4 linked regions of the Saccharomyces cerevisiae S288C genome follow. Changing the gene in region 3 together with the main gene of any one other region gives a genetic interaction. Each region holds a gene or a part of one and is shown on either strand. Other genes may lie near its edges. The genes, in order: KRE6, COX12, CST26 and CAT5.

Evidence for each region.
Region 1: mutations in CST26 (region 3) and KRE6 are lethal when combined (synthetic lethality), as found in Saccharomyces cerevisiae (one large-scale study listed by BioGRID).
Region 2: mutations in CST26 (region 3) and COX12 together harm fitness more than expected from each alone (negative genetic interaction), as found in Saccharomyces cerevisiae (one large-scale study listed by BioGRID).
Region 4: mutations in CST26 (region 3) and CAT5 together harm fitness more than expected from each alone (negative genetic interaction), as found in Saccharomyces cerevisiae (2 studies listed by BioGRID).

Annotation. Positions count from the first base shown.
Region 1 is NC_001148.4:854,328-863,146, forward strand, and holds KRE6 (beta-glucan synthesis-associated protein KRE6), read left to right. Parts: upstream 1-3,255; coding exon 3,256-5,418; downstream 5,419-8,819. Other genes in the region: YPR158C-C (gag protein), read right to left, coding at 608-1,930; YPR159C-A (uncharacterized protein), read right to left, coding at 5,987-6,088; GPH1 (glycogen phosphorylase), read left to right, coding at 6,979-8,819. UniProt on the Saccharomyces cerevisiae protein: Involved in the synthesis of (1->6)- and (1->3)-beta-D-glucan polymers of the yeast cell wall in vivo. It is required for full activity of beta-glucan synthase in vitro.
Region 2 is NC_001144.5:219,870-227,100, forward strand, and holds COX12 (cytochrome c oxidase subunit VIb), read right to left. Parts: upstream 5,304-7,231; coding exon 5,052-5,303; downstream 1-5,051. Other genes in the region: YLR036C (uncharacterized protein), read right to left, coding at 1,652-2,263; seripauperin PAU23, read right to left, coding at 2,816-3,190; RIC1 (Ric1p), read right to left, coding at 5,557-7,231. UniProt on the Saccharomyces cerevisiae protein: Component of the cytochrome c oxidase, the last enzyme in the mitochondrial electron transport chain which drives oxidative phosphorylation.
Region 3 is NC_001134.8:317,431-325,450, reverse strand, and holds CST26 (putative acyltransferase), read left to right. Parts: upstream 1-3,841; coding exon 3,842-5,035; downstream 5,036-8,020. Other genes in the region: TCM62 (Tcm62p), read left to right, coding at 1-1,110; QDR3 (Qdr3p), read left to right, coding at 1,506-3,575; long-chain fatty acid transporter FAT1, read right to left, coding at 5,176-7,185; FIG1 (Fig1p), read right to left, coding at 7,587-8,020. UniProt on the Saccharomyces cerevisiae protein: Acyltransferase with lysophosphatidic acid acyltransferase (LPAAT) activity. Fatty acyl substrates include 18:0-acyl-CoA, 16:0-acyl-CoA, 17:0-acyl-CoA and 14:0-acyl-CoA.
Region 4 is NC_001147.6:556,924-564,651, forward strand, and holds CAT5 (putative monooxygenase CAT5), read right to left. Parts: upstream 2,809-7,728; coding exon 2,107-2,808; downstream 1-2,106. Other genes in the region: ubiquitin-specific protease UBP2, read right to left, coding at 1-1,719; IAH1 (isoamyl acetate-hydrolyzing esterase), read right to left, coding at 3,038-3,754; GTPase-activating protein RGA1, read left to right, coding at 4,247-7,270; phosphoribosylaminoimidazole carboxylase ADE2, read right to left, coding at 7,553-7,728. UniProt on the Saccharomyces cerevisiae protein: Catalyzes the hydroxylation of 2-hexaprenyl-3-methyl-6-methoxy-1,4-benzoquinol (DMQH2) during ubiquinone biosynthesis.

The sequences.
Region 1 (8,819 bases), on a different chromosome or scaffold from region 3:
GCCGATTAAACAATCAGGACATTGATAGTCAATAGCACTAGACCAGTCGACATCTGATTCGTTAAAATACGTGATGGTGTTATTTTTAAGTGAGTATCGAATTGTCTGTGCATTGGCATGCGCAAGCATTCGATGAATGAAAGGATAAGGATATTTGCGTGTACTTTCACTTGTATGGACATTATTGATGGTGGGTACGGAGATATTTGATGGAAGCAAGTACCTTTTAGATACCCAGTAAAAGTCTCCATATTGTACGATAGGTGCAAGTACAGTGCCGTCAGATCGTTCTAAGACGTTTTTGGTAAAGCATGCTGTGATATCTACTGCAGCCAATTCATTCAAACTGAGTAAGTCATAGGCTATGTTAGGAGTGTGCAATACCTTTATTGATGTTTTGGTGTTGTCCTGGAAGTGAAATTGTAGGTCACCAATAGCGTTAATTGGTATATTTCTTTTTTGAGCATCAACTACGTTTATGTCAGGATTAGATGATGCTGAGTGTATGTGATGAGCAGATCTTATAAGGGTTCGTGATGCTCCTGAATCGAGAAGGAGGTGTCCAGGGAGTTCATCATCAGAATGATTAGTGTGATTTACCGTAGATTCAGTAAGTTCCTGGCCTAAGGTGAAGGTCGTGCTTATTGTTCAATTGAATCGGTTCAGTAGTTGATTTACTGATGGAATCGTTGTCCGTGCTGGGAGAGTTATTAGATGTGGATACATTGTGAGCCCTGGCTGTTTTCGATTTCGAATTATTTGTTTTTTGAGGATTCCGAGCTATAACTTTGGGTTTGGTTGTATTCGTATAGCTGCGAGAATCATTCTTCTCATCACTCAGATTTCTCCTGTAATTAGGTTTGCTGTTTCTCGATCCCTGTTGTTCTTCATAAATAGCATGGATATCTAAGAACAGTTCAGCGACTGTCATATTTAGATGTCGATGACGTGTGTAGCGTAAAAATTTATATTCGCCAGATAGACCTCTCATAATTAATTGGCATGCGACCTTGTTATTGATATGAATGCCATTATTGTTCAGTCTGTCGATAATGTTTGTGACTTTTGTTTCAAATGCATCTGCAGGTGTACTGCCATTATATTGCAAATTTGCCAGGGTCACAATGTCGTTTGCCTCTTGGGTATCAGATTGCATTTTTTCAATACTTTTGGAAAGAATTTTCATGATATCCGTATAATCAACGGATAGGATGTCTTTGACCCAGGTAGGTAGGAATTGAGAGGGAGCAAATATTTGAAAAGTGTTATACAAGAAGGTGAGTTCATCATCAGTGATCTGACGTACGGGTTTTCCGTTTACTGTCGGAATAATACCACCGAGATTCGAGTTTTGTAAAAATTTGATGTATGTTTTAACCCAATTTGGAAAGTCATTAGGTGAGGTTAACATTGGTGGTGGTCTGACATATTTTTTAGTGGATGTCATATCAGAGTCTGCTGAGGATGAATCAGTAAATGTATTACCTGACTCAGGTGATGGAGTGCTCAGAGGCGTTCCAACTGATGATGGATACTGCGGAAACTGTGATTGTGGCCCAGGTGGAAAGTACATAGGCGACATTTGATAAGGTGTATACGGAATCATAGATGGGTGTCCGTAAAATGACCAACCAGATGGATTGGCTTGGTTTTGGGTCATCATGCACTGCTGTGGGTACGGCCCATTCTGTGGAGGTGGTACTGAAGCAGGTTGAGGAGAGGCATGATGGGGGTTCTCTGGAACAGCTGATGAAGCAGGTGTTGTTGTCTGTTGAGAGTTAGCCTTAGTAGAAGCCTTCTCACATTCTTCTGTTTTGGAAGCTGAAACGTCTAACGGATCTTGATTTGTGTGGACTTCCTTAGAAGTAACCGAAGCACAGGCGCTACCATGAGAAATGGGTGAATAATTAGATAATTGTTGGGATTCCATTGTTGATAAAGGCTATAATATTAGGTATACAGAATATACTAGAAGTTCTCCTCGAGGATATAGGAATCCTCAAAATGGAATCTATATTTCTACATACTAATATTACGATTATTCCTCATTCCGTTTTATATGTTTATATTCATTGATCCTATTACATTATCAATCCTTGCGTTTCAGCTTCCTCTAACATCGATGACAGCTTCTCATAACTTATGTCATCATCTTAACACCGTATATGATAATATATTGATAATATAACTATTAGTTGATAGACGATAGTGGATTTTTATTCCAACACAAAATGAGATATGTCAGTATGACAATACGTCATCCTGAACGTTCATAAAACACATATGAAACAACCTTATAACAAAACGAACAACATGAGACAAAACCCGTCCTTCCCTAGCTGAACTACCCAAAAGTATAAATGCCTGAACAATTAGTTTAGATCCGAGATTCCGCGCTTCCACCACTTAGTATGATTCATATTTTATATAATATATAAGATAAGTAACATTCCGTGAATTAATCTGATAAACTGTTTTGACAACTGGTTACTTCCCTAAGACTGTTTATATTAGGATTGTCAAGACACTCCGGTATTACTCGAGCCCGTAATACAACAATTTACAACAAGATTCGGGCGTGTGGCGTAGTCGGTAGCGCGCTCCCTTAGCATGGGAGAGGTCTCCGGTTCGATTCCGGACTCGTCCATTTTAATTTTTGATTATGGAATACAAAATGTATATTTCGTATAAAATTATCTTTATTGTTTTTGTGGCTTAGTGATTTTCATTCCCCTCTTTTCTTTTTCCTCTCAGCCTGCAAGTGTGACGCGATCTGAAAGGCGTTTTACCCGCAAAACGCCAAAGAATCATCCTGAAGCGGTAAATTCTAGACTTCAGATCACATACGCTCTATTTGGACAGTTTTTTTTTTTTTTTCATATTCCTGATCAGATGAAAGTTAACGCTATTTTTGGTGAAAACACAGAATAAAACAGCTTCTGATAAAATTTAACTAGGAACGTCGAAAACAACAACCGTTAAAATATTTTTAGCTTACAGAAGCACTTAAGAATCACTAACGTTTTCTTCTTTTTTTATTTTCAGTCCAAAGCTTTCGTATTGCTGCAAGTGCTCGAGAAAGCTGCATATTGTTATTGTATTCGTCCTCTCGTACTAGTGTTCATTACTTTATCGTCTATAAATATATTGTTGTTAGAATTTTTCTACTAAGGCAAGTTAGTAGTTGCACAACATTTCTCTCGTTAAATCATCTAAAGTTTACAGAATAGGTATACCACTCACTCCTTTACTCTAATGCCTTTGAGAAATCTAACTGAAACGCACAACTTTAGTAGCACAAACCTGGACACAGATGGTACAGGCGACGATCATGATGGTGCTCCTCTTTCCTCATCTCCTTCTTTTGGACAACAAAATGACAATAGCACCAACGATAATGCTGGTCTCACAAACCCTTTTATGGGGAGTGACGAAGAATCTAATGCGCGGGATGGAGAATCTCTGTCTTCTTCTGTTCATTATCAGCCACAGGGGAGTGACTCTTCACTACTTCATGACAATTCTCGTCTAGATCTAAGTCAAAATAAAGGTGTATCTGATTACAAAGGTTACTATTCCAGGAACAATAGTAGAGCTGTGAGTACGGCTAATGATAACTCATTTCTTCAGCCACCACATAGAGCTATAGCCTCTTCTCCTTCTTTGAATTCTAATTTATCGAAGAATGATATTCTCTCACCGCCAGAATTTGATAGATATCCCTTAGTGGGTTCCAGAGTCACTTCTATGACTCAACTGAACCATCATGGTCGCTCGCCAACATCATCTCCAGGAAACGAGTCGTCCGCCTCATTCTCTTCTAATCCGTTTTTGGGCGAGCAAGATTTTTCTCCATTTGGTGGGTATCCTGCTTCATCGTTCCCACTTATGATAGATGAAAAGGAAGAAGATGATTATTTACACAATCCTGACCCCGAAGAAGAGGCAAGACTGGATAGAAGGAGGTTCATAGATGACTTCAAGTACATGGATAAAAGGTCTGCTAGTGGGCTAGCTGGTGTATTGCTCTTGTTTCTGGCAGCCATCTTTATTTTTATTGTTTTGCCAGCGTTGACCTTTACCGGTGCTATTGATCACGAAAGCAACACTGAAGAAGTTACATATTTAACTCAATACCAATATCCTCAACTATCCGCCATTAGAACATCTCTGGTTGACCCAGACACACCTGATACAGCGAAGACAAGAGAAGCTATGGATGGCTCTAAGTGGGAATTAGTATTTTCTGATGAGTTTAATGCAGAAGGCAGAACATTTTATGATGGGGATGATCCATACTGGACAGCCCCTGATGTTCACTATGATGCTACTAAGGATTTAGAATGGTACAGTCCAGACGCTTCCACAACTGTGAACGGAACCTTGCAGCTGAGAATGGATGCCTTTAAGAACCATGGCTTATATTACAGATCAGGTATGTTGCAGAGTTGGAATAAGGTTTGTTTCACGCAGGGTGCTCTAGAAATCTCTGCAAATCTACCAAATTATGGCCGTGTTTCAGGTTTGTGGCCCGGTCTTTGGACTATGGGTAATTTAGGGAGGCCCGGTTATTTGGCTAGTACCCAAGGTGTCTGGCCTTATTCTTATGAATCGTGTGATGCTGGTATTACACCCAACCAAAGTTCCCCGGATGGTATTTCTTACTTGCCGGGACAAAAGTTAAGTATTTGTACTTGTGATGGTGAAGATCATCCGAATCAAGGTGTTGGTAGAGGAGCTCCAGAAATTGATGTTTTGGAAGGTGAAACTGATACTAAGATTGGTGTAGGTATAGCCTCTCAATCCTTGCAAATTGCACCTTTTGATATCTGGTACATGCCTGACTATGATTTTATCGAGGTTTACAATTTCACAACAACGACCATGAACACTTATGCTGGCGGTCCATTTCAACAAGCCGTATCTGCTGTCTCAACTTTGAACGTAACTTGGTATGAATTCGGTGAGTACGGTGGCTACTTTCAAAAATATGCCATTGAGTATCTGAACGATGACGACAATGGTTATATCCGTTGGTTTGTTGGTGATACTCCAACTTATACTATTCATGCTAAAGCCTTACATCCTGATGGTAATATTGGTTGGAGAAGAATCAGTAAAGAACCAATGTCGATTATTCTAAATCTGGGTATTTCCAACAATTGGGCTTATATTGATTGGCAGTATATTTTCTTCCCAGTGGTTATGTCGATTGACTATGTTAGAATATACCAACCAAGTAATGCTATATCCGTGACATGCGATCCAAGTGACTATCCAACATATGATTATATTCAATCGCACTTAAATGCATTCCAGAATGCAAACTTAACTACTTGGGAAGATGCTGGTTACACGTTCCCTAAGAATATCCTAACTGGTAAATGTACTAGCTCGAAGTTCAAGTTATCCTCTTAAGCGGGTATTTTGATGGTAAATCTACAAGCCCTCGGCTTTAATTATTACCATGGTCATAAAAAGTTACTTACAATGCATACATTTTTCTTTTAGGAAGAAATAAAATATAAAAGACTTATCGTTCAAATCGGGTCATAAAGGGAACTAAAGGTATACTAAGGTAAGACGGGGTTCTCATCTGCACGTAATTTTTTATTATTTTTAGTGAGGGAGAACTTTACCTCTAAGATTGTTTATATAGGTATACACATTTTTGTAAAACTGATTATTCGTTTTTTTTTTTGAAACAAGTTATTAGTACAAAAATCAAGCTCTCACTACTTACCAGTAGTTATTTTAGTAGAATATTATTAACTCTACCGAATAAGTACGATATGAGAAATTGCTGATTTACTTGTGTGTGTTCCTATTATTATCCAGGAGCGCCTCTAATCTATGCTTATAATTTTACGTTGAAAAAAAAGGAGTCTGTATAATTATTTCAAATTCATCCTTTTCTCACGGATATTGTGTACCCTATGAGGTAAATAATTGCGCTTTATTTTCTCCCTGTGTTTGCTCGCTCATCTTAAGACGAAAAAAGTAATGGAACACCTACCATCAATAGAAGTACCACACTCATGTAAATAACAAGCGCAAGTGGTTTAGTGGTAAAATCCAACGTTGCCATCGTTGGGCCCCCGGTTCGATTCCGGGCTTGCGCAGATTTTATTTTTTGCTCCCTTCTAAAGCTCTGGATGATTCACCAACTTATCCAAGGCAAGGTCCAACTACCGTTTCCTTCGATGAAAAAGACAATAGGTAGCTCTGTCAAACCCCGTGGAAACGCAAACTCATCGGGAGTGTCCTACTGCTTTCCACTAGTTATCCGACTAGCAAGGCAACTAGTCAAGATGAAACCGTCTCACGAACATTTGTATACGATCTCTTCTCCTGATAGACAATGAAATATACCCCGGTGCTTGTTTCCCACTAAGGAAAAAAGGCCGCTGCCCCACAGCGGGAAGGCCCTTCAAGGGGTAGCGGCATCGCCTAGTAGCACTGTGGGGGGAAGAATACAACGCTCAACGGAAGAGGAAGCTCTGCGAGATGCAGCCAGCACCTTCTATGTTTCAAGGATAACATTTTGAATTAACAAGGAACGCCTTCCCCAATTACCGTTATTGTATTTTTACTTTTTAGAGACTCTCGAGGAAATAAGTAAGGGGTGGATAATTTTCGCTAAAAAAGTTTCAGGGGAGGTTAATAACTACCATGTGCATGCTACAAAGATAAGGAAGGAACACCGACGAATATATTATATGTATAAAAGGAGCATGAAGTTTGTATAGCAGTAAAGCAAGATTCTTTGTGCCTTCCCGTTTCTTGTTGTACCTTTTGTTTTGATTACGTACGAAGTATTATAAGTTTTTTCTGCTTGCTATTGTAATATAAAGTAAGCACAGATTGAGAAGGTAACGATTACTAAAAATATCCAAAAGAAAAACAATTGGATCTTTTTTGACTTCTCTACATTACAATTTCAGTAAAGCAGCTTTCAACTTAATTTAATTTTGAACAATGCCGCCAGCTAGTACTAGTACTACCAATGATATGATAACCGAAGAACCTACTTCTCCACACCAAATCCCAAGGCTTACAAGGAGACTTACGGGGTTTCTTCCCCAAGAAATCAAGTCAATTGACACGATGATTCCTTTAAAGTCAAGAGCGTTATGGAATAAGCATCAAGTCAAAAAATTTAACAAGGCAGAAGATTTTCAAGATAGATTCATTGACCATGTGGAAACTACATTAGCACGTTCCCTATATAATTGTGATGACATGGCTGCTTATGAAGCTGCTTCGATGAGTATTCGTGACAATTTGGTCATTGACTGGAACAAAACTCAGCAGAAATTCACCACAAGAGACCCAAAGAGAGTTTACTATTTGTCTTTGGAGTTTTTGATGGGTAGGGCTTTGGATAATGCCCTGATTAATATGAAGATTGAAGATCCGGAAGACCCTGCTGCCTCAAAGGGAAAACCAAGAGAAATGATTAAAGGGGCTTTGGATGATTTAGGTTTCAAGTTAGAGGATGTCTTGGACCAAGAACCGGACGCAGGTTTAGGTAATGGTGGTCTAGGTCGTCTTGCAGCTTGCTTCGTCGACTCAATGGCAACGGAAGGCATCCCTGCCTGGGGTTATGGTCTACGTTATGAGTATGGTATCTTTGCTCAAAAGATTATTGACGGTTACCAGGTGGAAACTCCAGATTACTGGTTAAATTCTGGTAATCCATGGGAAATTGAACGTAACGAAGTGCAAATTCCTGTCACCTTTTATGGTTATGTTGATAGACCAGAAGGCGGTAAAACTACACTGAGTGCGTCACAATGGATCGGTGGGGAAAGAGTTCTTGCTGTCGCGTATGATTTCCCAGTTCCGGGTTTCAAGACTTCCAATGTAAATAACTTAAGACTATGGCAAGCAAGGCCAACAACAGAATTTGATTTTGCAAAATTCAATAATGGTGACTATAAAAACTCTGTGGCTCAGCAACAACGCGCAGAGTCTATAACCGCTGTGTTGTATCCAAACGATAACTTTGCTCAAGGTAAGGAGTTGAGGTTGAAACAGCAGTACTTCTGGTGTGCTGCATCCTTACACGACATCTTAAGAAGATTCAAAAAATCCAAGAGGCCATGGACTGAATTTCCTGACCAAGTGGCTATTCAGTTGAATGATACTCATCCAACTTTAGCCATCGTTGAATTACAGAGAGTTTTGGTCGATCTAGAAAAACTAGATTGGCACGAGGCTTGGGACATCGTGACCAAGACTTTTGCTTATACTAACCACACTGTTATGCAAGAGGCCCTGGAAAAATGGCCCGTCGGCCTCTTTGGCCATTTGCTACCCAGACATTTGGAAATTATATATGATATCAACTGGTTCTTCTTGCAAGATGTGGCCAAAAAATTCCCCAAGGATGTTGATCTTTTGTCTCGTATATCCATCATCGAAGAAAACTCTCCAGAAAGACAGATCAGAATGGCCTTTTTGGCTATTGTTGGTTCACACAAGGTTAATGGTGTTGCTGAATTGCACTCTGAATTAATCAAAACGACCATATTTAAAGATTTTGTCAAGTTCTATGGTCCATCAAAGTTTGTCAATGTCACTAACGGTATCACACCAAGGAGATGGTTGAAGCAAGCTAACCCTTCATTGGCTAAACTGATCAGTGAAACCCTTAACGATCCAACAGAGGAGTATTTGTTGGACATGGCCAAACTGACCCAGTTGGGAAAATATGTTGAAGATAAGGAGTTTTTGAAAAAATGGAACCAAGTCAAGCTTAATAATAAGATCAGATTAGTAGATTTAATCAAAAAGGAAAATGATGGAGTAGACAT
Region 2 (7,231 bases), on a different chromosome or scaffold from region 3:
CTGCCATTATATTGCAAATTTGCCAGGGTCACAATGTCGTTTGCCTCTTGGGTATCAGATTGCATTTTTTCAATACTTTTGGAAAGAATTTTCATGATATCCGTATAATCAACGGATAGGATGTCTTTGACCCAGGTAGGTAGGAATTGAGAGGGAGCAAATATTTGAAAAGTGTTATACAAGAAGGTGAGTTCATCATCAGTGATCTGACGTACGGGTTTTCCGTTTACTGTCGGAATAATACCACCGAGATTCGAGTTTTGTAAAAATTTGATGTATGTTTTAACCCAATTTGGAAAATCATTAGGTGAGGTTAACATTGGTGGTGGTCTGACATATTTTTTAGTGGATGTCATATCAGAGTCCGCTGAGGATGAATCAGTAAATGTATTACCTGACTCAGGTGATGGAGTGCTCAGAGGCGTTCCAACTGATGATGGATACTGCGGAAACTGTGATTGTGGCCCAGGTGGAAAGTACATAGGCGACATTTGATAAGGTGTATACGGAATCATAGATGGGTGTCCGTAAAATGACCAACCAGATGGATTGGCTTGGTTTTGGGTCATCATGCACTGCTGTGGGTACGGCCCATTCTGTGGAGGTGGTACTGAAGCAGGTTGAGGAGAGGCATGATGGGGGTTCTCTGGAACAGCTGATGAAGCAGGTGTTGTTGTCTGTTGAGAGTTAGCCTTAGTGGAAGCCTTATCATATTCTTGAATTTTGGAAGCTGAAACGTCTAACGGATCTTGATTTGTGTGGACTTCCTTAGAAGTAACCGAAGCACAGGCGCTACCATGAGATATATGTGGGTAATTAGATAATTGTTGGGATTCCATTGTTGATAGAGGCTATAATATTAGGTATACAGAATATACTAGAAGTTCTCCTCGAGGATATAGGAATCCTCAAAATGGAATCTATATTTCTACATACTAATATTACGATTATTCCTCATTCCGTTTTATATGTTTATATTCATTGATCCTATTACATTATCAATCCTTGCGTTTCAGCTTCCTCTAACATCGATGACAGCTTCTCATAACTTATGTCATCATCTTAACACCGTATATGATAATATATTGATAATATAACTATTAGTTGATAGACGATAGTGGATTTTTATTCCAACACTTTCATACGTAACGGGGGTAATATTACTAGCTGTTAGAATAAGAGTCAACGATCATAATTGACTAGTAACGCAAATACTACTAAACAGATGATGTTTTAGAGTTTCATTCTAACAAATTGATAATGTAGTAGAATAATGAATGACAAAGTATAAAAGAAAGGAAGACAAAGTGATTTTATTATCAGAACTATCAACTCCCTTTCGTGAATTCCAAGACTGTTGAGGAGAACTTCTAGTATATTTTGTATACCTAATATCAACAACGAAATCCCAACAATTAATACGAAGTTCACCCATTTTCTGATAATTGTTACGTGCAAATAATAGAACTACTTTTGTCGAGGTGTAATCTCGTATTCAAACTATATAGTAAATTATTCTCAATGGTCGAGTAATGCAAGAAGATGATATTGAATACTTTGCGTAACTTTACCAATTATCCAATATGCAACAGTAAAATGATACCTTCACATTTCAAGCTAATTCCAAAATAATACATATTAGGTAAAATCCTCAATTTAATTGCCCGGTTTTACCTTCAGACATCGCTCCCTTTCCATTGACACATCTATACCCTTCAATGAACCCGCTATGTAATATCAACGCATCGTAAAAATAGAATAATAATGCAGTAGTACATATCCAGCCTAGCTGCAATCTAAATAGCTGTGATAGTCGGTGTAAATTAATAGTTTGGTCAGTTTTAAAAAAAAACCTAATTTTGGTACAAAAGTAGAAGCTGAAAGCAGTCATTGATACCAATAACAAATACTTTAGCTGAAACCATTTAGGATACTTTTTTCTGGCAGCACAGCTGGGACATACTACCTTCGAACATCTCTTTGGCTTTGTTTTATTTTCATTTTTAAAATGACCGTTCTTTCGATATAAAAAGAAAACTATAATAACGAGGGAAATTGTTACCGCCCCCAGAATCATATCTATGATCTTAATGATGATTGCTTTTGGGTACTTTTCAATCAAATTATCTACTGATGGCACCATAAAACAATTTATAAAATAAAGGCTACAAACGGCCTTTGTTAATTTTTCTATAATTAATAAGGAATTAGACTTTGGGATCTCATCTTGGCTTTCTGTCGCACTAAGTTCTGCCTCTTTCATTATTTCCTATACTTTGAAGGAGAAAGTAAACTTTAACGGCAAGTTCCTGTCTTAACTACCTTTTAGTTCTCGTGTGTTGTGAAGGGCCTTTGAGGAAAAACTCGAAAGTTTGTTCCGTACTTTTAAACTTTCAATTTTTTACCAAAAAGGCTATTTACCGCTTTATGGGAAGATCATGGCAAGTCAAATCCACGTTAAATGGAACAAGATTAACTTGCCACAGATCAAATGCTGAATTGAAGAGAAGTTTTAAGCATTAAGATTCTTAATATGATCATTAATATATCAGTACGTGTCTCAACTGGAATCGTATAAGGTTCTTGTAAGTACAAATTGTATGCAGAAATTTAAATGCGAGAACAAAACTTGAATCTCCCCCCGCATTTAAAAAATATCTTTTTGAACACAGTGCAACTGATTAAAAGTACCTGTAATACATATATATGTTTGTATACGTATGTATATCTAATTATTTCTTACCGTCAAATCATAATTATTTTTATCCGTTCGTAAAGCAATCCAGTGCTAAATACCAATTGTGAGGCCATCGGCTTAGTTTGGAACAGCAGTGTAGATACCGTCCTTGGATAGAGCGCTGGAGATAGCTGGTCTCAATCTGGTGGAGTACCATGGGACACCAGTGATGACTCTAGTGACTTGATCAGCGGGAATACCAGTCAACATAGTGGTGAAATCACCGTAGTTGAAAACAGCTTCAGCAATTTCAACTGGGTAAGTTTCAGTTGGATGAGCAGCTTGGAACATATAGTATTCAGCCAAATGAGCTCTGATATCTGAGACGTAGACACCTAATTCGACCAGGTTAACTCTTTCGTCAGAGGGAGATAAAGTAGTGGTGGCTGGGGCAGCAGCGACACCAGCAGCAATAGCAGCGACACCAGCAACAATTGAAGTTAGTTTGACCATTTTTTTCGATTGAACTTTTGTAGATCTTTTTAGTGAAGATGTGAGCTCACTCGAATGTAAATAACAATGCCAAATTGTCGGAAAGAGTTAATCAAAGCTGCTCTATTTATATGCCGTTTTTTAATAAGCGACGGACGAACAGATAAATTGTTGAATAGCTATTTCACTGCTGATATTTCTCTTACTTGGGCTCCCCTATCCCATACTCTTCACCACTACAAATATGCAGTTGCCCTTTCTTCAACAATGCTTTTTTTATAGATCTCGTATACGGATCCGCGCCTTTGTACTACCTATATCTTATTATGATATATACAGGAGCACAGGAATGTTCGGTACAGGGATGATACCTTTAAAGGAAGTTTTGGCATGCCTTGACAACTTCAATTAATCTTTGGCCAAGAAAATGAACCAGAAATCAAATTTTATTCTGTGCCCTCTGAACGAGGGCAATATCCAATGTTTGACACTAAACGGTTGTCAGGAGAAAAATTGAATGTTTCCCAAATCAGAAACATTAAAATCCCTCTATATGATCAGAGGAGTCGTACCTGTTAGGGTATGAGCGAGGAAACGTGATTGAGAGTTATAAACTGACCATACGAAGAGTTACGGCCATTGATTGGGTTCATGACACCCAGGGAAGTTTCTTTTGGATTAAAATCACAAGTCTTGCAATTGCTGTATGTATTGCATGAGTGAAGTAGTTGGCATCTAATGGATACCCACTTAGGGAGTTTATGGATGAATCTTGTCTTCATAGGGTAGCTCGAGAGTGTTTTTTAATCTAGTGATATCCACTTAGCTAAGCGCGGCTGGAGATACAATATTTACAAAGGCAATTTCAAAAGTAGGAGCGTTTTCAAAGGCCTGCTCCATTCTCCGTTGAGGTAGTAGAAGCAAATATAAACGGTTAATCTTGCTGTTTTCCTTGTTTTGTCTGTTGGTTTTCACTTGCTGAAGCCTGTGGTTCAACAGTACTCGGAGAATCGGCCTTATCTAGTCTCCTTCTGACCTGTAATGCGTAAAATTACGACAAACGTATTTCGTGAAACAATTGATAGGAAAATTGTCATTTGCTTGTTAAGGCAGTGCATTGAGGCTCTTTAAAGGTACTTTAGAAGTTTATGTTACTATCCTTCTAGCCTGATAGAACAATAAGTAAAGAATTGACATTCAGAAATCAGCCATCATTTCGTTTAGTAGTAGCAATCGCAAGTAGTGACTGTAAGAGATAGAAATGTGTACTTCAGTCTGGAACTGGGGCGCTTGTGAAGGATGTGTGCCGATCTCAGGCTGTTGATGAAGGTCTCTTCAAATACTATATTATTATCTTTTAGTAGGTCCCAGGAAGTGCCTTATTCTCAACATGTTCAGCGTTTATCTTTCTCAGCCTGAATGTATTTCAAACGATGACTAGAAGAGATTAGTACCCCTTATATAATCCTCGAAAATGTTGCTATCTCAGTGAATTGAAAGTTCATGCTGACGTCTTTATCAGCGTTATCCATTGCCTTGTTCTTTTCAGTGCAGTGGCAGATGTTACGAGGGTCAAATAATTTTTGAATATATATAGAAATGGCTACTTACTATAATTAAAAATAAATATGAAAAATAAAACTTCAGTACCCCACATCATTCTCATTTTTTTCTGTTTGTTTGATTTTTAGGAATTTGGCTCCATCATGAACATTCGTTAGCGTATGATATCACTTTTTCATTATCTCCTATTGTTACTTTACTTTTCATATAGATATCCTTCATCCCGTGTAGGTCTACTACGCAAAAATGAATTCTAGTAATTAATAATAATGATATAAAAAAGGCTAAGTGCACATTACTAAAAACGAAACTAAGATCCTTAGTCTGAGTTGATATCACCTGCGAAAATACCTTTTTCTCTTTGATCATCCCATTTTTCGATCCAGTCTAGGGGACATAAGGCGTTATAGGTCTTCCAAAAGACCTTGCACGGAGCAAAATCTTCGCCCTTCATATTAACACACTTGTGATAATCCACATAAGATTGCCAACAATGCTTTGTTTGGTTTTGTTGGGGAAATCTAGCATCGAAACCAACTGTATGTAGTGGAGAGTTTTCTTGATCAGCCATGTCTATTATACTGTATTTATGTGCTTGTTCCTATTTGTGAAAGCAAAGATACTTTATGTATTCTTACTAAAATATTTGTATATCTCTGCTAATCATTTTAATGCAACTTTTCTATCTGGTGCATCTTTCATCACCTTTTAAAGATCCTGAAGGGATGGGGATATCGGGCAAAACTACGCGCGACGCATTTCTGAAAATTGATTGGTCAATGTTATGAAGCTATATGGTAAAGAATACATGGTGTCATATAGATTTATTTGAATCTCTCGAGTGCTTTTTGAACCAATTGTGTGTTGTTTTCTCTGTCTAATTCCTTGAGTAAGCGTATTAATTGGAAACACATGTCCCACGAATCGGTAGCTTTAATTGGGTCTGTGGCGTTTGCAGCACTTGTCACCAAAAGCTCTAAGACTTTAAGCATTAATTCTTCATCCTTCAATAAATTAGTGACAGATTTCTCTGACTTTTTTGTAGAGTTATCATTTAGAGCTTTGCTTTCCTCAGTCCCTAAATCTGATTTCTTAAAATGTAGATCATCTCCCAAATCTTTCTCATCGTAATTTAAAAACACTAACAGAAGTACGCCAAGCATTTTAGCCTCATTTTCTTCGATACAGAGTGCTAATAAATCTCTTGGTGTCATCTTTAGATTAGTGAATAGATGGTTCCAGTATTTAGTTTCGATCTTCCTTAAACAATTACTAATAATTTCTAACATACCACTGTGGGTTGGTGGTGAAATATTATGCTCAGGATCGGTGTTGTCATACATCTTAATTAATTTCAGGATATCATCCAAAGAGTCGCTTCGCAGTATTTTAGTAGACAAAATCTTTTCGAGTGCAAATTTGTAAGGCTTTAAAAAACGATAATTGTGTGAAATATCCTCCAAATCTGTGTTGTCTTCTAATTTGGCTAAGATTAATTGGTCGAGGTATATTTGGTGTTTCACCACCAATTTGGAAAATCGCGCGTTAAAAATGCAGTGAAGTGTATGTGTTGTAGCTGTTTCTGGGGTGGTTGATATTGGATACAAATCTTCTTCGATTGGAATGGAAACTAGTGGCTTTTTATCATCCCATAAATCTTCCAAAGAGTATACGACGTAATTATGGCCTTGAACTACAAATATTTCGTCCCTGATAACATCGATTATTTTTTCTATGTTATCCAACAAAGTTAAGGTTTGCCAGCCCCCTCCATCCACTTTGCCAAGCTTTATAAATTTCCTATCGGCAAAAAATAACAAGCCCTCCTTCATGTTAATTATCCACTCAATTTTGTTGGGTAAAACATCAATTGGAATGTTAATTTTGAGATACTGGTAGAATTTTTTGATGATGTTTAATCCACATGGATGTACAGTAGAAATTACATCGAAGACAATTGTCTGTGTATCAGTAACTAAAATAATCTCGGCAGTTTTAAGCAATGCATCAGGTTGTTTTTCAGAAGCATTGTGATTCTTGGATTTCATTTTCAACAACTTATACCGGGATAAAGTATTAACATGTAAACTGAAAACAATCGTATTCTCTGGAACATTGTATTCCCACATGACATAATCTGATAGTTCCACGTCCGGATTCGCTTCTTGCAGTGGAATCTGCAGACATTTCAGATTTGTTGAGCCATCATCATTCTTCATATGACAAACCAAATAATTATCACCTAGCCAATGTAAATCCAACACGTTTTGGTCAGCAAAACTAGACCACATATTGGTCTCTAGATTGTGGATAAGCAGTATGTTTTTGTTCGACACATAAGTAGCAAATAACCTCAAGGAAGAATTAATTTTTACAAAAGCAATATGATTATTGAAAGTCTTTGTAGGAAGTTTTATGACTTGTAAATTATCATTATTGATTGAAGAACTTGTCACAGGTGAATATATGATTACATCATTGTTCGTATTGGTTAATACG
Region 3 (8,020 bases):
TCGGATGACATTGTGCGGGTCATAAACGGCAACAAAACTTACGATGAGGTTGATGTATCCAAGGGTTGGAAATATCCAGCTGGTATTTTAGATAGTAATGAAGCCTATTTAAGGTCCCTGGAGTTGCCTACTAAGAAATTAGTTTCCATTGATAAAGATATGCTAGTTCTTATGTATGATGGGACGTTACGAGACGCTAATAAAATTCTACCCACGATAACGTATGCAAGAAAGTTGAGAAAATCTGTTCTCTTAATCGTTAACGGAGATTGCACAGGTGATGCATTAACATCCGTTACAATTAACAATAACAGAAACAAGAGAGAAAATAATGAAAGCCGAATAGTGGTTTTGAAGTACTCTAAAAAGGCGAACAATGACTTAGCGCCACAGGAGAATCTTGATTTTATAAAGTTCTTACGGTTGCCTTGCGGATATGACAGCATCTACTCACCAGAATATAGTCCTTTAGTGCCAAGCAAAATGTGTGCGGATAAATATTACGGCAGTATCGAATCCATAAAAGCGACCACAGGGGAGGCATTCTTATATAACTCCATTGATGCTGAAGCGATTCCAAATAAAGTTCCGAAATCCTTCCTCCAAAATACGGTCACTTTAAGCATTGGTGGACATAACGAAATCGAAATCGACAGAAGAAGAAATGCAATAGATAATTGCTTAAATAACGTCCTATGTCATGGGCTGGCCAAAGGTTTCATCCCAGGTTACGGCATCTCCCTACTGAAGGCAATTCCAGGTTTGAATGAACTGAAAGCAAATGAACCCAATTTCATGACTAAGGTAGGCATCAATGCTGTTTTATCAGCAGTTATTCTCCCATCAGAAGTGGCGTTTAAGAATGCATATGGGTACAACTATTATGAGATCAATAGCCTGATAGCAGGCGCTATAAACGAAAAATCGTTTCCAATGGCCAAGTTTTCTCCAAATTCAGAACCGGTGAACACAGTAAAGGATGGAAACTTGGAGCCATGGAGCAAAATGGATTCTTGTTTAGCCGGTGTAGAAACGTTCATTGAATTACTTACAAGCTGTAATACAATTATCACATGTGTATACAAAAAGCCTGAACGGCACAAAGCCTAGATAAAGCCCTTACATACTTTTAAATAGTCAGAATGAGTCATTGTAAATAGATATTGCCACGGCGCTGCCTTTTATCACTTTTACCTCTTCGTAAATATCTATTATTCCTGCTCAATTTCTCATATGCGGCTTCGGAAAAACTCGGGTTTTTCCACGCCTCAGCAGTAACTCCATCTACCTTTGGGGATTTGAACCATCTCATTCCAGTTTTGGATAACTGCGATTAGATTAAAATATTAAAAGATTATCGATTAGATAAGATAGAAACCAACAAAATTTGTTGTAATAGCTGTGTCCTTGTATCCTTAAAAGAAAACAGGGTTGAAGGCATATGTATTCACATCTTTCTAACTTGTTAACGTCTATGCTAGGACCGAAGTCAGAAAGCGATAAACATGCAAGCCCAAGGTTCACAATCGAATGTAGGGTCTTTGAGGAGTAATTGCTCTGACAATTCACTACCGAACAATCATGTTATGATGCACTGCGATGAAAGCAGCGGCAGCCCGCACAGCGAGCACAACGATTATAGTTACGAAAAGACCAATCTGGAAAGTACGGCATCAAATAGTCGTGAACACAGAGACAACCAGCTAAGTAGGTTGAAGAGTGAGGAATACGTTGTTCCAAAGAATCAACGTAGGGGACTATTGCCTCAACTCGCCATTATACCGGAGTTCAAGGATGCCAGAGATTATCCACCGATGATGAAAAAGATGATTGTCTTCTTGATTGCGTTTTCCTCCATGATGGGCCCCATGGGCACATCTATCATTTTTCCAGCGATCAACTCAATCACAACAGAATTTAAAACATCAGTGATTATGGTAAACGTTTCAATTGGTGTGTACCTTTTAAGTCTTGGTGTTTTCCCATTGTGGTGGTCTTCTCTATCCGAGCTAGAGGGCAGAAGAACTACTTACATAACTTCATTTGCATTATTGTTTGCATTTAATATCGGGTCTGCTCTAGCTCCTGATATCAACTCATTTATTGCCTTGAGAATGCTCTGTGGGGCTGCTTCTGCCAGTGTTCAAAGTGTAGGTGCTGGAACAGTGGCTGATTTATATATTAGCGAAGATAGAGGTAAAAATTTGAGTTATTACTATTTGGGTCCACTACTGGCGCCGCTACTATCTCCAATTTTTGGATCTTTGTTAGTGAATCGCTGGCCCTGGAGATCCACTCAATGGTTTATGGTTATTTTATCCGGATGTAATGTCATTCTTTTGACGGTGTTACTACCTGAAACATTAAGAAAACAAGATTCTAAAGGCGCTATCGCTCAAATTTTGGCTGAAAGACGTATTCAAGTAGACAATAACGAACGTGGAGAGATACAAGAAGATTATCAGAGGGGAGAAGATGAGACAGATCGAATTGAAAACCAAGTTGCCACATTATCTACTGAGAAGCATAACTACGTTGGAGAGGTAAGGGATCAAGACTCGCTAGATTTAGAAAGTCACTCTAGCCCCAATACTTATGATGGTCGAGCTGGAGAAACCCAATTGCAACGGATTTATACAGAGGCGAGTAGAAGTCTGTATGAATATCAGCTAGATGATAGCGGTATCGATGCAACAACAGCACAAGTTACGAGAATAAGATCAACAGATCCAAAGTTAGCGAGATCGATTCGAGAAAATAGTCTGAGAAAATTACAAACCAACCTGGAAGAGCAAGTCAAAAAAGTGCTATCCAGTAATGGAGGTGAAATCGCTCCTAAACAGGTATCAGCGGTGAGGAAGGTCTGGGACACCTTTTTTGTTTATTTTATCAAGCCTTTAAAATCATTGCACTTCCTAGAATATCCACCCGTGGCACTTGCAATAACATTTTCCGCAATTTCCTTTTCCACAGTATACTTTGTTAATATGACAGTTGAATATAAATATTCAAGGCCTCCTTACAACTTTAAACCATTATACATTGGTCTACTGTATATTCCGAATTCTGTAACATACTTTTTCGCCTCAATTTACGGTGGACGTTGGGTGGACATGCTTTTAAAAAGATACAAAGAGAAATATGGAATTCTTGCTCCTGAAGCTCGTATATCGTGGAATGTTGTTACATCTGTAATATCTTTCCCCATTGCGCTATTGATATTTGGCTGGTGCCTAGATAAAAAATGCCACTGGGTAACGCCACTAATTGGAACAGCCCTCTTTGGATATGCAGCTATGATGACAATTGGTGCTACCCTTTCCTATTTAGTCGATTCATTGCCGGGAAAGGGTGCCACCGGTGTTGCTTTGAATAATTTAATAAGGCAAATCTTGGCTGCAACCGCAGTCTTTGTCACCACACCCATGTTAAACGGTATGGGAACTGGGTGGGCTTTCACAATGCTGGCCTTTATCGTCTTGGGTGCTAGCAGTGTACTTATAATACTGAAAAAGCACGGTGATTACTGGAGAGAGAACTACGATTTACAAAAATTGTACGACAAAATTGATTAATCATATCGGTTAATAAGACGGAAGCGTAAATATTTTCATTGTAGACTTTTCATAGGGTGGCACATACATAGTTTACTTTAGTTTATGGTAAATCGTTATTGTGCTAAAAGTATTATTAAATAATGTTCAACAACATCTCAAGAGGCGAAAAACTCATCAGAAAAAGAAATATAAACGCGAAAGATCATTAATGAACACTAGCCAACAAAAAAAAAGGATATATCAGGTCCACTGGTATTGAGATTGCTAGCGAGGTCAATAAGCTGATGCTGCATCAAAAAATAGCTCATAAAGTTCGAAAAGTCGTCGTCCCAGGTATTTCCTTATTGATTTTCTTCCAGGGATGCCTTATTCTTTTGTTTCTCCAACTCACCTATAAGACTCTTTACTGTAGAAATGATATAAGGAAACAAATTGGTCTCAATAAAACCAAAAGATTATTTATTGTCTTGGTATCATCCATTTTGCATGTTGTCGCACCATCTGCAGTGAGAATTACCACTGAAAATTCCAGTGTTCCTAAAGGTACTTTTTTTTTAGACTTGAAGAAGAAAAGGATTCTTTCTCATCTAAAGTCCAATTCGGTGGCCATTTGCAATCACCAAATATACACGGATTGGATATTTTTATGGTGGTTGGCTTACACATCGAACTTAGGGGCTAATGTCTTCATTATTTTAAAAAAATCGTTGGCTTCCATTCCTATCCTCGGTTTCGGTATGAGAAACTATAATTTCATTTTTATGAGTAGAAAGTGGGCACAAGACAAAATAACCCTAAGCAACAGCCTTGCTGGCCTTGATTCGAATGCAAGGGGCGCCGGCTCACTTGCTGGAAAGTCACCTGAGCGCATAACTGAGGAAGGAGAGAGCATATGGAATCCGGAGGTTATTGATCCAAAACAAATCCATTGGCCATACAATCTTATCCTATTCCCTGAAGGTACAAATCTCAGTGCTGATACTAGGCAAAAAAGTGCTAAATATGCTGCCAAAATAGGCAAAAAGCCATTCAAGAATGTGCTACTGCCTCATTCTACAGGCCTAAGATACTCGTTACAAAAGTTGAAGCCAAGTATTGAAAGTCTTTATGATATTACGATCGGCTACTCCGGTGTAAAACAGGAGGAATATGGTGAGCTTATATATGGGCTGAAGAGCATATTTTTAGAAGGAAAATACCCGAAGTTAGTCGATATTCACATCAGAGCATTTGATGTTAAAGATATTCCATTAGAGGACGAGAATGAATTTTCAGAATGGCTGTATAAAATTTGGAGTGAGAAGGATGCTCTAATGGAAAGGTACTATTCCACTGGATCATTCGTAAGTGATCCTGAAACAAACCATTCAGTTACCGATAGTTTCAAGATCAATCGTATTGAGTTAACTGAAGTGCTAATATTACCAACTCTAACAATAATTTGGTTAGTTTATAAACTTTATTGTTTTATTTTTTGAATTTAAATAATCCTTTCCATATGTTATTAGGTACATATATAGATAGATATAAAACTTTTTTTGATTCTTTATCAATATTACGTTTACATACGTACTCTCGTGCAAGGAAAAATACTTTATCCTAATTCAGGAACATCAAATCATAATTTAATTGTTTGTGCATCGATGGCTTCCCAATCAGCAGCGGTCAAGACTTCATAGCGCTTGTAATTCTTGAGCCAAAAAATAGTGTCATTTCCATCCAAACCCTTTGGTAATTTTTGCTCTCTATAAACCTTCTTCAAAATTTTATGATTATCTGTCATTTTAATTTCATCAACAAATTTAACAAATAGGGGCATAGCATAAGACGGTAGATTTAACCGGCTCAAGGAATCATTTAATAATTTGGTCTTTGCAGTGATGTCAAGAGAGTTGTCAGTTAGTTTAATAACTGCAAAACCAGCTCTACCTTCATATTTAGGTACTTTAATACCAACAACTAGAACTTGTGCATATTGTTCTTTGTTACTGGCCGTCAACTGATCTTCTACTTCAGTAGTGGAAACATTTTCAGATTTCCATCTGAAAGTATCACCCATTCTATCAAGGAAATACCATAATCCATATTCGTCCGCTTTTAATAAATCTCCACATCTATACCAAGCATCGCCACGTCTGAAGACATCCCTCACAACTTTGGACTTTGTTTCCTTGGCATTACCAAGATAACCTTGAAAAGATGTTTCTGGTTTTTTAGGGAAAAAGATTCTCATTAACATTTCTCCTGGTTCGCCAACAGGGGCCACTTCGCAGAAACCCTTGGAATTTCTATATATAACGGAATCGTCATTTGGGTCCATCCTTACCAATGTTTGTTGGAATGACAAAAACCATTGAATTATAGTACCATAGTTCCTACATGCGCCAATTCCAAAGTCACCTTTCTGGAAGGTAGTTGTAGCAAAAGGAGCTTCAGTTGCGGCATAGAATTCACCAATAACTTCTATGTTGAACCTCTTCCTGAAGTCCTGCCAGATGTCAGGTCTCAGCCCGTTACCATAAGCAACCTTCACCTTATGCATCTTTTCATACTTAGAAATTGGCGTATGTAACAGGTATCTACAGACTTCTCCGACATATTGGATGTGCGTGGCTCCTGTTAAATAAACTTGCTTCCAAAATGTACTGGCAGAAAATTTATGCGATAACGCAAGGCAACCACCGTGAGATAGAATGGCGCACGCACCTAATAAGGCAGCAGTTGAATGGAACAATGGCATGGCTGTGAACACAGTGCTTTCATTAGTCATATGTAAAACATGACCAAAAACTTGACAACCTACGGAGGATTTTCTCCAAGACATAATAGCGGATTTAGGCAAACCAGTGGTTCCAGATGTATAAATTAACATAGAGGGTTTAAAATCGGTCAAGCCTAGTGGTGTCCTAACGTTGTCTTGTTGTAAGAATTCCGGTGATTGCGAATTTAAAAGTTCATGCATTAAGTCTTGTTCTTCAAGATAGTTTAATTTAACATCAGGAAGTGCGTTTTTGATTTCTTCTTCCGATTCTCTGATCGGATTACTGGCATCAGGGTCAATAAATACCTGCGTAATATTGGAAATCTTTAGGGAGTGAACCAGCGGAGTGCCTTTAGTATTATAGTTTAAAAAAGCTGGAATAGCCCCAATGTTCCACAAAGAAAGCCATAAAAATACGAAAAGAGGTTTATTAGTACAATCGATTGCCACGTAGTCACCGGCCTGAACGTTATAATCAAAATGCAAAATATGAGACAATCTCAACACTATGTTATAAGTTTCAATATACGTAAAGGTTTCGAGTTGAAATTCTCCCTTTTCGGCCATGGGACGGGTGTAACTAATCGCTAAATGGTCACCATTTTGTTGGACCTGTTTAATAAATAAGTACCAGTTTTGAAACCTATGTCTTCTCACATCAATGATATAACAAAACACGCTTTTCAAAAAGTAAGGAATAATATACCAATCCTCCTTGTATCTATATTTACGGTCTAATTCATCAAAATAATTACCAAATAGATAACCCAGTGATTTCTGGATAGGGGTTATAATTAGCTTGATAAGTCTGAATAATAGCAGGAAAATCCTTGACAAGGCAAAGACAACAACCTGTATGGGAGACATAGTCGGTATTCGCAGCCTATTAAAAGTTCAACGATATAGAATTTGAATGATTTGGGCTTTTCAATTTAGTTTACGACTTTAAGGTCCTTATTTTTTTTGCTATAACATTAGTATTTATAAAAAATTTCTGGAGCTTTGTTACATTGCGCGAAAAACCCGCGTTCTATCTTTTTAGTCGCTCATCAAGGTGACAGTAAATAAAACAGACGGTAATGATTAGAGTTTAGGTAAGCTCATATTTTCTCTGTTGTTACTTAATTATCGAACGTTAAATTTTTTAAGTAGTTCATCACATTATATAATGTTAATCGTGAATTATATAAATTTTTTCTCCTTTTACTTTTAAAAATTGACATTCTGAAATATCCGCTCAAAACTTATATGTTTATTTGAGGATAAAACTAAACTTTGGAATGCAATGTAGATGAATCCGAAGAGTAGTTATTGTACCTATTTTGGGCACATGGAACATTATCAATTTCATCTTTCAAGCTTTTCCTATCCCTTAAAAATATTAACCATAAAACCACACTGTCTAAAAGGAGGAATGCAAAGCTAAACCAAGCCATTACTGCTGCCTTCTTGCCCTTCTTGACAGTGATTATATTCATACTTGATGATGGAACCAATCTGTAACTTGCATTTATCCCTACATGAGTCCACATCGCACCAATACCCCATGTCAAAACTATAGTTGAACTTAGCAACAGTAGAAATTTATTAACCGCTAGTTTGAATGGTAACTTAGGGACAGTTACATACAGAATAAATAGAAACATTAGGATTGTTAGGATTACAGTTGCCATCAAGACATATGGATGTATAACATTAACCG
Region 4 (7,728 bases), on a different chromosome or scaffold from region 3:
TAGTTTGTCAGATTTGGTATATTTGGCCAACAATCTTAGAGCATTTTTCAAATTTGTTAGGTGATTAGAGGTTACTTGGCTCTTATTTGATGTTTCATATTTGTAAATAGATAGCAAAGTCGCCTCATTTAATTCGGAGATGTTACACTCTTTAGGGTTAATTTTAAACATTAACAAAGCATTTTCTAGAGCTTCTTGGCCTATAATGTCCTGTTTTCCACAGTAAGCAATCAATTGATATGCCCCCTTCCTATTTGCAATGTATGTCAGTGCGTCAAAATACAGCCCAATATTTTCAGGATCCAAAGAAGACAAAGATTCGTAGTTTCTGATTATATCTCTATCGGTATAATAATGCGAAACGGAAAGATTAATAAAATGAGGTTCTGCGTCCAAAGGCGAATGAGTTTGCTCATTGGAATTTAATAGAATCCTTGCTCTGGATTCTCCCAATAAATGGAACCAAGGTAGTGTTGAGAAAGAAGTTTGTAATGAAGACATTCCCTTTACGCTTTTCGTATTTTTCAAGGGAGAATTAGGTGCCAGTAATGAGGTAGATAGTTGACCCCAAAATATCAGTTGTAAACACTTCCTCACAAACGATTCTCGAATTTTTCTTGTCTCCAAATCGTTTACATAGTCCACCATATCTGGAGGGACGTATTCAGTAAATATCTCATTAGTTTCCTCATCGATTTCTGAGCTTGCTTGAAATCCATACTTGGACGTTAACCATTCAGGATTCAGGTGAGTGTTAAGGGCCAAATTTCCAGAATCAATTGTCTTTGTAGGTTCCGCTTTACTTTTCCTCGTCAAAGGCCCTTTAAAAATTTTAAAAAGTGTGTAAAAACAGTCAACTTGAGATGGCGTCTCGCTTTTATCTAGTGATTCATTTTTTACACACATAGCATTGTATCTCTTCTTAATTGCGTCGGCAGTAAAACTCTCATGCTCTTCAGGTGAATTAAACTCGGGTTTAAAAATTTCAATCAAGATCAGTTTGTTAGTATCATCAGAAACGTAAATACCGTAATCCAACAAATTAGGATCGGAAGAATCAAAAGTCGAAAGGTCTACTCGATCGTATTCGTGCAAATGATCTAGTGAGTGGAATTGAGTAACACCGACATGCTTCTTCAACCGCTCCAGTTCTTGGCGGACTTTTACGCTAACCTTAAGATGATAAATAGGAATTTTAACAATATCATCAAAAGTTGAAATTTGCTGTTCTGCCAGTGATGGATTAAAGATGACCGCCTGAAATACATGTATTTTATTATATTTTGGGCATGAAATGGAATCATACTCGGATTTTGTTTGAAAAACCACTTGATCAGTTAATGAACCCAAGCAGTTAGGGCGAATACTACTTCTGAAAGTTGAGTAAGAAAGCATAGACTCTTTTAAAATACCCCTCGATTGCAGGCCCTTTTGCATGACCTTCGGGTCTGTAGAATTGAGAAAAATAGTATCGCAAAGTATATCGTCCAAAAGTCTGTCAGAAGTCTTCAGTGGTAGGTTGGTGGCAATATCTGGATACAGTAAGTGTTTTCCATCGTCAACATCTCCAGGGGTAGACTGCTGGTTTATACTTGTCCCGTATAATGGGAGGTCTTCTATAACAGACCCATTTCTGTCAGCATTTTCTTTATCCTGGTTTAGTAGTTGATTATGATGGTTCTCAATTGCTTTTTGAAGTTCATTATCTTCGTTCGGCATTTCCTTATACCTTCTTAACCTTGAACAAAAGCTTTCTTTTTAATTACCACTTTATTATTAGCAGTGGCCCCGTTTTTATGCAATGTTCTTCCAATGGCAAGCCGCTTGTTTTTTTCAAGCTATATGTACTATAGTTTTGCTCTAATTAACTGTTACTCTTGTTAAAGATCCAGTTTGTACTCACCCTTAGACTATGAACCCATACCCCATTTACATAATTATAGACAGTGTATCTATTCCTGTCATATTGGTCATATAGCGTTAAAATGCGTAAGGATGATACATAATTTTATACATGATAGTTTAATTAGGACATTTATCAAACCGTTTTCCTTTCAATTCTCCTTTTCTGGCATAACGCGACTGATGTATGCCACTTTCTGGTGGTTAAATTCTTTCGGCACTCCATATAGCTACTCTGCAAATCGTTTTAATACCTTCAGTGATAACTGTATATGGAACTGCCATATACGAATCATGCTTGATAGCGGTGTCTAGATGCTCTAGCTCGTCATCCCTGAACTGTTGGATAGTAGAAGTTAAGGATTTGATTTCCTCACTTGGACCCTTTGTTCCATCTGTTCTTTCTAAATTGAATTGATTGGCCAAGTTTCGCAATTGGCCATTGTAGTGCCCTCCGATTACTGTCTCGACAGCTTCAGTACAAGCCATAGCTGCTTCTGGAGAAATCAATGCGGTACCAGCCCCCATTGCAAAGGCTCCTGCCTTCCACAAAGGCGTTAATAAGGAAGGCCTGACTCTCCTTTTCAATTGCAAATTGTTAAAAGTATTATGATGATGTATCTCCTGGTCCCATATGTGCTTTAGCACAGGTTTCAAGTGAGGGTACCTATGAGCCAACACGAAGTACTGGCCAGCGTAGATGTAGTCTGCACCTAATTCGCCAGCTTGATCTACACGAATAACACGGTCCAAAAATGCAGCCTGAGCATCTGATAAATTCTGACACTTGGGAGCATGCTCAGGTTTTTCGGTGTGTTTTGCTGATGTATGTTCTGTTATCTTTAAAGATGATAAGACGGAAAAGCCTCTGCTGGCAGGTTTGAAAACTGAAACACGGGATAACATAATTTCTATGTATCTCTCCCGTATACGTGATATCTTTATTCCTTGAATTGGTTTGGAGGAGAAGATAACGACGTTTTCACAAGAATAAAACTCTCGTCTGTAAAAATAAGGAAACATGTTTTATAGATTTCTATTGTTTTTTTTCCTGAAAATCCCGTATATGAAAAATTATACAGTTGCTTAAAAGTTAGGGAAATATAGACAGAGTACGTACAAAGGATTACTGCATTCAAGACATTATGTTAGATCCATCATCTAGCACATCTCTCCAATCTTTCAGTTTGTACTGCATGTTTTTGGGATGATATTGGGGGTAGAATGTCTCAATGACCTTCAATAATTCGTCATGAAAAATTTTGTACCCTTTTCCGGAAAAGTGCAGTCCATCTGTTAGCAGTTGTTGCCAAGCATCACCACCTTCCTGTTGAAACGCCTTATTCAAAGCCACGAAGGGAACTTTTTCCTCATTGGCTAGTTTTGCTAAGGCATCGGAATAAATGGCAAAGTTCTCGTTGGTACGGAAGTATCCGAGAGCTATTTCTTCAGATTTTTCTTTTTCCCACTTCTCTCTATCTACTAGCCCCGGTCCTATTATAATAGGACGGATATGGTAAGACTTCATCAAAGATACCATTTGACGAATATTATCGATAAATTCGGGGAGGGGGACACTTTGGGGACCTGCTGAGCATGCATCGTTGGCACCCAAAAATATTGTGGCCATGACAATATTGGATTCATGCTTTAAAATCTCAGGAAGTATTTTCAACGCCCATCTAGAAGTGTACCCTTTGAACCCTCTTTGAAGAATATCCATTTTTCTCGTATATTCGTTGACTAATGCGGCTCCAAGAGCATACTGATCTTTGCCATCTTCAATGGGCCTAGTATTAAAAGCAAATTCAGTAATGGAATCCCCAAATAACAGAAACTTCTCGTAATCCATATTTGGTCACAGTTTAAGCGTACGAACAGATGATAATGTAGAGGCTAGTTCTTGGTTTCGTATGTGTTACCACGATGAGAAGGTGTAAAGTGCCCTTATTATTGCGCGCTTTATGCCGTATTAGGAAAAATGAAAAAAAAAAAAAGGCAGTTCTCGAGTTTAGATTTGATATAATTAACGTGTGCTTTTCTCTATTGACCTTTGATGAGATTGTATCAGCCAACTGGCTAATTCATTGAACGTTTTCCAAGGGTAGGACTGCTCAAACAGACTAAATTTCTTTGCCAAATAGGGTGTTTTGAGTTTTGATCAGTCAACATTCTTGATCAATTCACAGTTGCTTAAAATAGAAAAAAAAATTGATCGGTATCACTAAAATTTTTAAGAAACTGAAAAGCACCACGGTTTTGACATTTATCTCTATTATAGCTTTTTGTACAAGACAAGGATAGCTGATTCAGGTACTAGTGGTGGAGAGAGCGGCATATTAAAATGGCATCAACTGCTCCCAATGAACAATTTCCATCCTGCGTACGATGCAAAGAATTTATTACCACGGGGCATGCATATGAGTTGGGTTGTGATAGATGGCACACACATTGTTTCGCTTGTTACAAATGTGAGAAACCATTAAGCTGCGAATCTGATTTTTTAGTCCTTGGAACAGGTGCTTTGATCTGCTTTGATTGTTCCGATTCTTGTAAAAATTGCGGTAAAAAGATTGATGATTTGGCCATAATACTGTCCTCTTCAAATGAGGCCTATTGTTCAGATTGTTTTAAATGCTGTAAATGTGGTGAAAATATTGCTGACCTACGGTACGCGAAAACCAAGCGAGGTTTATTCTGTTTAAGCTGTCACGAAAAGCTATTAGCCAAACGAAAATACTACGAAGAGAAGAAAAGGCGACTCAAAAAGAATTTACCAAGTTTACCCACACCTGTGATTGATAATGGCCATACTGATGAGGTCTCAGCTTCTGCAGTCCTCCCAGAAAAAACATTTAGCAGACCTGCATCACTAGTTAATGAGATTCCTTCAGGTTCTGAACCTTCCAAGGACATAGAAACCAATTCGAGTGATATTGTTCCGCATTTTATCACTGGGTATAACGATAGCGATGACAACTCTGGAAGTTCAAAATTCGGTTCAAATGTGTCCATAGATGTTATAGGACCGGAAGAAAATAGCACGGAGCATGTAAATGATGATGTTAAAGAGGAAGCAGAAGCACCTTCAGCGAATATGTCACTCAATGTTGCTACGGATCCAACCCTAAGTTGTAAAGAACCTCCTAGCCATTCGAGGAATTTGTTAAATAAAACACCGTTGAGAAATTCTTCGGGTCAGTATCTCGCAAAATCTCCAAGCTCCTATAGACAGGGAATAATTGTTAACGATAGTCTGGAAGAGAGCGATCAAATTGATCCTCCAAATAACAGTTCACGAAATGCAAGTGAATTGTTGACCTCGGTATTGCATAGCCCAGTTTCTGTTAATATGAAAAATCCGAAGGGTTCAAATACGGATATTTTCAACACCGGTGAAATATCCCAAATGGATCCTTCGCTATCAAGGAAAGTATTGAATAATATTGTCGAAGAAACAAACGCACTTCAAAGGCCAGTTGTTGAAGTTGTCAAGGAAGACAGAAGTGTTCCTGACCTAGCAGGTGTTCAGCAAGAGCAAGCAGAGAAATATTCCTATTCAAACAATAGTGGAAAAGGCAGAAAAATTTCAAGATCATTGTCACGAAGGTCCAAAGATTTGATGATTAATCTAAAATCCAGAGCCACAGGCAAACAGGATAGTAACGTTAAACTTTCACCTGCTTCTAAAGTGACATCTAGACGCTCACAAGATTTAATGAGGGATAATGATTCACATACCGGCCTTGACACACCAAATTCTAACAGCACTTCTTTAGATATTTTGGTGAATAATCAAAAAAGCCTAAACTATAAAAGATTTACCGATAATGGCACTCTTAGGGTGACTAGTGGAAAGGAAACCGCCCTTGAAGAACAGAAGAATCACAGTTTTAAATCTCCGTCACCAATTGATCATTTGTTACAATCGCCAGCTACACCAAGTAATGTATCCATGTATCGAACTCCGCCTTTAGATAGCTCATTGACATTTGATAGGCGGAATGGGTCTTCATACAGTAACCAAAATTATAGCATACCTAGTTGGCAGAAAACTCCAAAGACCCAATTGGAGAATAGCGACAATTTTGAGGAACAGAAGGAAACACTTTACGAAAATAGCGAATCTAGAAACGATCCCTCGCTTGATAAAGAAATTGTCACGGCAGAGCACTATCTGAAGCAATTAAAAATAAATTTGAAAGAACTTGAATCTCAAAGGGAAGAATTAATGAAAGAGATCACTGAAATGAAGTCTATGAAAGAGGCTCTACGCCGACATATTGAATCCTATAATAGCGAGAAAAATAAACTATATCTTGACTCCAATGAATTATCAAATAATCCACCGATGATAAATGAAATCAGCTTAGGTGAGTCGCCACCCGTGAAACATGTTGCAACTGCAAGTTCTGTAGCGCGAAGTTCTGTTAAACCAAAATTTTGGAAGTTTTTTTCATCTGCAAAGCCACAGACCGAGCAATCTATACAAGGTGTCAGTACAAATAATACAAATTCCATCGTTAAAAGTGCCCCAGTTTTGCTTTCTGCTCCCTCATCTGGTAGTAATTCCGGCCGTTTAGAAATTTCACCACCTGTGCTACAAAATCCTAATGAATTTAGTGACGTTAGATTAGTACCTATCGAGAACGATGCAAATATGGGACAAAGTAAAGATGGAGAAGAATATTTGGATGGAAGCAATTTGTATGGTTCAAGTCTCGTTGCTAGGTGCAATTATGAAAACAATGAAATACCGATGATACTATCTGTCTGCATAGATTTTATTGAATCAGACGAAGAAAATATGAGATCGGAGGGCATTTATAGAAAATCAGGTTCCCAGCTAGTCATAGAAGAAATAGAAAAGCAATTTTCTGCATGGAAAGTACAACAAAATACCGAAACGCCAAATATTTTAACGGAACAAGATCTCAACGTTGTTACTGGTGTGTTGAAGCGATACTTAAGAAAGCTCCCCAACCCTATCTTTACCTTTCAAATATACGAGCCGTTGATGAGGTTAGTTAAATCTAAAAAAATGATGGAAAACTTGCCATTTGTTGGAGGAAAGTTGTCCTTAGAAGCAAAGAATTCGGACACTTATATGTCGAGCAAGAGCGCTTTAAAAAACATATTGGAAGACCTTCCAAGGGAACATTATAGGGTGTTAAGAGTACTGAGTGAACATATAGAAAAGGTTACACGGTACAGTCACTGGAATCGAATGACGCTTTATAATTTGGCTTTAGTTTTTGCTCCAGGTTTGATTCGTGATTTCAGTGGAGAAAAGGATATTATTGATATGAAAGAAAGAAACTATATTGTCGCATTTATATTTGGGAACTACAAAGATATCCTGACGTAGCGCTATCCTCGGTTCTGCATTGAGCCGCCTTATATGAACTGTATCGAAACGTTATTTTTTTAATCGCAGACTTAAGCAGGTAATTATTCCTTGCTTCTTGTTACTGGATATGTATGTATGTATAATAAGTGATCTTATGTATGAAATTCTTAAAAAAGGACACCTGTAAGCGTTGATTTCTATGTATGAAGTCCACATTTGATGTAATCATAACAAAGCCTAAAAAATAGGTATATCATTTTATAATTATTTGCTGTACAAGTATATCAATAAACTTATATATTACTTGTTTTCTAGATAAGCTTCGTAACCGACAGTTTCTAACTTTTGTGCTTTGACAAGAACTTCTTCTTCTTGCTTTAATAAAAACTGTTCCATTTTCGTTGTATAACTTGAATCATAAGCGCCAAGCAGTCTGACAGCCAACAGCGCAGCGTTCGTACTATTATTAATAGCGA